2 linked regions of the Mus musculus genome follow. The protein of the gene in region 1 purifies or fractionates together with the protein of each later gene. This does not show direct contact. Links are inferred from orthologs where the notes say so. Each region holds a gene or a part of one and is shown on either strand. Other genes may lie near its edges.

The links.
Region 2: the proteins of Nfkbib (region 1) and Polr1e purify together in Homo sapiens (affinity purification with mass spectrometry; 3 studies listed by BioGRID and IntAct, counting the BioPlex papers as one, with this or other methods). This does not show direct contact. The link is inferred for Mus musculus from reciprocal best matches to the Homo sapiens genes NFKBIB and POLR1E.

The regions. Positions count from the first base shown.
Region 1 is NC_000073.6:28,760,788-28,763,658, forward strand, and holds part of Nfkbib (NF-kappa-B inhibitor beta), read right to left. Parts: intron 1,345-2,871; coding exon 1,239-1,344; intron 1,149-1,238; coding exon 815-1,148; intron 1-814. UniProt on the Homo sapiens protein: Inhibits NF-kappa-B by complexing with and trapping it in the cytoplasm.
Region 2 is NC_000070.6:45,024,839-45,028,656, forward strand, and holds part of Polr1e (DNA-directed RNA polymerase I subunit RPA49), read left to right. Parts: intron 1-307; coding exon of another isoform or gene 308-380; intron 381-931; coding exon 932-990; intron 991-1,925; coding exon 1,926-2,070; intron 2,071-2,525; coding exon 2,526-2,633; intron 2,634-3,164; coding exon 3,165-3,261; intron 3,262-3,818. UniProt on the Homo sapiens protein: Component of RNA polymerase I (Pol I), a DNA-dependent RNA polymerase which synthesizes ribosomal RNA precursors using the four ribonucleoside triphosphates as substrates.

The sequences.
Region 1 (2,871 bases):
AGTTCCAGCCCCAGCACCATAAATAAAACAAAAGATACAGTGACAATAACAGTAAAAGTCCCCAAAAGGGCCTGGGGCTCAGGACTCTGGCTATCAGATGACCTCAGTCTATTCATGAGGCGGGGCTGAGAGGGTAACCCGCATCCTCTGCCCCTGGCTGGGGACATGGGATGGATCCTCTCATCATGGTCAGGCTGGGCTGGTGGCTCATACTCGGGAACAATTCTGGAGGGAAGTCACCTTGCAGATGGGTAGCCCTGGTTTAACCACTGTATCCTGGCATCTCTGGACCTGTGGCTGACAGGTCTGGGTTATAAGTGGTCTGACGTCTAGACCTGTGGGAGAGGGGCCTTGTACGTCCAATTCTTAGTACTCCTGAGACTGTGTGGAGGGCCTTAGTCCAGATGCTAGGATTTACGGAGCCTAGGGATGACTTCCCAAGGAGCTAGTTTTGCTTTGAGGGTTTTTTGAGACAGGGCCTGAATTTGACCTCATGATGTTTCTGCCACCCAAGTGCTGGGACTGGGTGTTTGTTTGAGATGGGGTCTCCTGTAACCTAGACTGGCCTCAAACTAGCTAGCACCAAGGATGACCTTGAACTCCTGATCCTCTGGCTTCCAGAGACTGGTATTATAGGCATACACCAAGCTGTTTATGCCGGGGATTGAACCTAGGGCTTTACGTATGCCAGATGAGCACTCCACCAACCAGGGTATGTCTGAGGCCATTGGCTACAACTCAGGTTGGGTGAGAGGAGCTGGGAGCCTGGGACTGGCCAGGAGCTCACATCTTCCCCAAGGCCTGGGGCTCTCACCATCATAGTTTTCAGCTTCTAGTTGTAGCCTCCAGTCTTCATCACGCGGCTCCTCTTCGTTCTCTGGGTTGGGTTGGGAATCCACGGCAGCAGGGGCATGGCTGGTGTCTGGGGTACAGTCCTGGCTCTGAGTGAGGTAGGTATCTGAGGCATCTCTTGGGTGGCTGGGACGGGGCTGGAGCAGTACGCACGCGCACGTGTGTGCCCTGACCCGGCAGGCCAAGTGCAATGCCGTGTGGCCCCCTCTCTCAGCCACCAACACTCCTGCACCGGCTGCATACAACTTCTCTACTGTAGATGCCTCCCCAAGGATGGCTGCTAGATGCAGGGCTGTCTACAGGGATAGAGAGAAGGGGTTAGTTAGGGCCACGCTGACAATCCTGGACCCACCCGGCTCCCTACAGCACACATCCCCATGGCTCACTTGGCCTAGGTCATTCTGCAGGTCAAGGTACTCGGTGCCGGCGGAGAAGCCCAGGAGGAAATCCAGGAAGGGCTCATGCTGATGAATCACAGCCAAGTGCAGGGCTCTGAGGACAAAAGGCAGAGGTCAGTGTCACAGAGTGTCTACTGTGTGCTACAAACTGTGGCCACGGTGGAAACCTGTCAGTGTTCCGGAGAGTCGAGGGCAGAAGCTAATCTAGCACTTTGTCTGGCTGCTCCGTGTTCTGAGCTAAGATAGGGTCTTCATAAGTGGCCCACACTGACCTTGAGTTCAAGCCCTCCCACCTCAGCCTCCTGAGTAGCTCGGCTGACAAGCCAGGGGAATCCATAGACTTAGTGATTTCAATAGCTCTCGTCACCAATAGGCCCAGCTACCAAATTTGTTTCACCTGTGTTAACTAAGTAACATAATCAGTGTAGTAGCTCTAATTCCAGCATCCGGGAAACCTGAGGCAGGAGGATTGTTAGTTCAAGGCCAGACTGGGCTACATGGTGAGTTCCAGAGCAGCAGGGTTAAAAACTAAATAATGAGATTCGATCACACACACATACAGAAATGCTGGGCATGGCGGCCCATGTGAGAGAGGCAAAAGCGGTGGATCTCTGAGAATCCCAGGCTAGCCTGATCTGCATGGTGAGCTCCTGGTCAGCTAGGGCTACACTGTGAGACCTGTCTCAAATAATAATACGGTAATAAAGTGAGGTACAATCGAGGTAGACAGCCAGTATGGATCTCTGTCCTCCACACATAAACATACACATACACACAGACAAGCTGGATACGATGGCTCTCACCACACACATACACAGACACACACACACACACACACACACACACACACACACACTCAGTGTAGCTCTAAGAACAGACCTTCAAATTACATAAAGCAAAAGCTAACAAGGAGAAGAAGCAACAGACGAATCCATAGGTGTGGTAACTTCACTAGGTCTCTGTCACCAACTGTTCCAACAAGTAGGAAAGCAGGAGCAAATGAACGGCAGGGCTCTGTGGTGGCTGCTGCCCTGTCTTTGCAGTCATGAGGACTGAACCTAAGGTAGCTTGCATGCAGGGACGCTGGCTGCCACTGAGCTACCTGCTATTGGTTCCCCTCATTTTGAAGTAGGGCCTCGCTGTGAATGTCCCCAGCCTGGACTTGAATTCACTCTATTCCTCGGCAGGTCCTGACCTTGAGCTCCTCCTGCCTCAATCTTCTTTGTAGCTGGAATCACACGCCCAGCTTTGAACAACACTGCTAACCAACATTCCCTCTAAGTCACACGTTGTCAAAATGAATTCCACCGGCACACAGTTCCCGAGAGCACTCGCCCAGCACTCAGAAGGCCCTGGGTCTGATGGCCAGCGCTGCAAGAGAAAAACTAGAGACCGCAAATCAGACAAAACATGTTCTCTGCCCGCAGTAAAATGAAATTTAAAGCTGGTAACAGAGAGATCTGGAAACTCCTCCAAGCGTGAAAAATGAACATACTTCTTCATAACCTACTGGCCAAAGGAGAAACCAAGAGAAATTAGAAAATATACTCATTTATGCAAAAATAAAAACACAATATATCAGAAGTTCTCCAGAGGGAATATTTACAGCATTCCAAGCACA
Region 2 (3,818 bases), on another chromosome or scaffold:
GCCCTGGCTGTCCTGGAACTCACTTTGTAGACCAGGCTGGCCTTGAACTCAGAAATCCGCCTGCCTTTGCCTCCCAAGTGCTGGGATCAAAGGCGTGCACCACCACGCCCGGCCTTGTTTAATCTTTTGATGAGACACATTTGTGTTGTGCATAAATAGTTTATAAGTACTGGCTTGTTCTGGCTAGCACGTGCACAACTTTAATTTAGGGTCATTGTGCACTTGTCACCAAACACCTTTCATAAGTACCACATAATTACGTCATCCTTACTGTTACTCTTTTTTTTTTTTTCTAAACCACTGTCAGAACCTGGCTGAGGCAGGTGACCTGCTGCTGAGCCGACACCGGCAAGGCCATTGCATTGCAGTCCTGCTGGATGGTATTGCCTTCTGCCCTCTATTTGAGTCCTTTGTAGAAGGTTAGAAAGTGGCCTGGGAAAGCCCGCCTTTAGGTCTTTGACCAATAAAGCAAATATGGGAAGAGCCAAGGGCTTGGTTTCTGATCCTCTCTGGCTTGCCTGGAAAAGTGACAGGGCTGGTCACTATGTCCAGAGGCCTCATGTTTCCTTGATTATGAATTAAGAGGCTGGTGCAGCGGACACCTGTTCTCTGGTTTTCCTACTTGTGTACTGAGGTGGACATTCAGGGTTCACAGTATAGTACATTCATATTAGGGGAATCTTGGAATAAGGAAATCTGCTTCTCTTTGATTAATGTTAAATTGACACTAAGCACGTTTAAGATTTTTGGGCCTTGCAGAGCTGATGCCTGCAGTGCCCCTCTGCTTGTGGGGTTTGAGACCAGGGCATCAGTGGAACTCGCAAGTTTTGAAAACCAGCATGGGCAGCATAGTAAGACCCCATTTAAGAAATAGTAGACTCACATCTGCGAGCCTCACGCTGTGCTCTCTGCCTGTTCTGTGTTTCCATAGACGATGCTATTGAGCGAGAGCCTCCTCTGGAGAATCAGAACAAGACTTTCAGGGACAAGGTGAGTGACAGTTTAGGAGGCTCCTGCCGGTCCTGGTTTCCATCTGTGTAATAGTCCCCCTGAGCTTGGCCCTCACTGGCTGCTCCAGCTCGATTGGTCGATGGGTCTCTGCATGGCTGCTACCTGCAGAGGCCTTCCAGTCTCCCAGGGAGCAGACCAGCTGCTGCCTTAGCCCGGTGAATGGAGGTAATGTTAGCAATTGCACCCTGTTCTCTGGGCTGATAGGTAGAAAACTTTTATTTTATTTTATTTTTTAAAGATTTACTTATTATTATGTGTAAGTACATTGTAGCTGTCTTCAGACATACCAGAAGATCTCATTACAGATGGTTGTGAGCCACCATGTGGTTGCTGGGATTTGAACTCAGGACCTTCAGAAGAGCAGTCAGTGCTCTTAATAACCACTGTGTCATCTCTCCAGCCATGGGTAGAAAACTTTTATTAAAGTTGTGGTTCACAATGTAGAAAGTGGTTGTGCCTGGGAACTCCCATAAACAAAGTCGGTTCTTTGAGTTTGTCTCAAAGAGGTTTCTTAGAGGAGCCTCTCACCGCAGGGTGGTAGATTGAATTTGCAGTGCTTCTTGTGGACCACTGATAGAGAACACACTACAGTATGACTTGGGGAGAGCCAGTGGTATATTAACAATGTCTGCTACTGGCACAGGATGGGAGATCCAGTAGCCAACCCTGAGTCTAGTAAAGTCTTCATTCTGTAGTGATGGGAAGCTATTGGTTTGTAAATGGGAGTCTGTACAGCAAACCTCGGGGCTGCTGTGGCACAGTTGAGATGGACAAGCATGACAAAAGGACTCAGCCTGATTGGCAGGTGATGTCATCCTGGCTCAGGCAGCCCAGAGCTTGCCTGTGCTCACACAGCTGGGGACAGCCATGCTGCCCAGCCAACCCTTTAGTAATTGGGTTTGTTTCCTACATAGTTGGATTCTTGCATTGAAGCCTTTGGAAGCACCAAGCAGAAGCGGTCCCTAAACTCCAGGCGGATGAACAAAGTTGGCAGCGAGTCTCTGAATCTCAGTGTGGCGAAAGCCGCGGAGAGTATTATTGATACAAAGGGTGTGAATGGTAAGCAACTGGAGCTTGGGGTGGAGACTGGGCCTGCAAAGACTTGAGAGTGGCCACAGATGCATATGGTGGGCCTTAAGGCTGGGCTCCTTCCTGCTGCTTGCTGAAGGCCTCCTCAGGAGTGACTCTGGGAGCAGGCGAGACATGCGACACCACCCTATCCTCAGTCAAGGAGAGGAGACAGGCATGGGAAGGGCCGTGAGCAGGCCCTGCTCTTGGTCAGGGTTCTCTGGTGTGCAGTAATGACATACGAGTGCACATCTCTTTGATTCTGTTCTGAGTTAGTTGAGGGCAAACACGTTGTACTCACCTTCTGCCTCTGTCCGACCGGGAGTTCAGATCTCAGCAGGTGTTCACATTCGAGTTTCAGAACGTGTGGTCCCCACTGCACAGTGGAGCTGGGGAGCCTGGAGCCAGACAGGCTGACGCTGACATCCCTTTTCCTTCCTTGAAAGCGCTGGTCAGCGATGCCATGCAGGATGACTTACAAGATGGCGTCCTCTACCTTCCTCCCTGCTACGCTGACGCAGCCAAGCCGGAAGACGTGTATAGATTTGAAGACAGTATCCTTGCTGATGAGCGGGTGTCTGATTTGCAGGCTATGATGTTTGTACACATTGGCAGAGCCAGGCTGTGTAAGGGTGGCCATCGTCCTATGACATCAATAAATATGACATCCAGATCTTCTCCCATGTCCTAGAGCTGTTAGCAAGAGGTTGGGAAGTTAGGTTTCCTCAGCACTGAGGGGCCCATGGGACAAAGGGACACAGCTTAGCCCTGTGGGGGTCATTCTGCACAAACAGCACCCAAGCATATTGAAGGAAGGGTTGGAACCTAGAACGTCACTGTTCAGCGTCTGGTTTATTGGAAAATGTTGACAGATGCTCTGATAAGGAAGAGAAGGGCGAGTGGTCCAGGGAGGAAGTGACCCCCTAAGCTGGGGTCTGAGACTTAGGTCCCTGAGCTCTGCCCTGCTTCCTCTGTGAGTCCCTTCTCTGAGCCTTCCATCTCCTACCTGGGAATTTAGGCTCTGTGGGATGACTTAGCTCCATAGCTTTCCATTTTGGTCAGTCGTGTTCTTGACCCACAACCAGTTCTGTCCCCGGCCGAGTATGATGCTCTTGAGAGCCCATCCGAAGCCTTCAGAAAGGTCACATCGGAAGACATACTGAAGATGATTGAAGAGAACAGGTACTCGTGGGCAGATGGGGTTTTTGGTGAGTCATAATGGGAAAAAGGTCAGATATAAAGCAGGACCGTGCTGATACACGCAGAAAGTAGCCCCTTGAAGTGGCAAGGGTGGCGTCTGCTCAGCCTTGGAATGAAGGAACAAGCTTTGACACTAGGCTTCAGGAGCTGTGTGGATTCAAGGAAGAGGAGTGGTTACGTGCGTAGAGCCAGTAGCTGGGAGATGGTGGTAAGGTGTTGTCATCTGGGGCCTGGGACCAAAGCTAGCCCCAATCCCCACTGTCTGTTGATGCTGATTGTCACTGTCAGTGCCCAGAGACTGGCATGGGCCTGGCACTACCCAAAGCAAAGCTTCTCTGTGACAACATGCTGACAAACGCAACTAAAATTAAATATGTACACTCTAAATATTGTATATTGATTTTAAATAACAGAGAGTATCCCTCTTCTCTTTTGCCATTAAAACAACTTTTCCTTTTTTAAAATGATGGTCAGAATATTTCTTAGTTCTGAGCCTTTTTTTTTAAATTATCTATTTAATTATTTTATGTGAGTACACT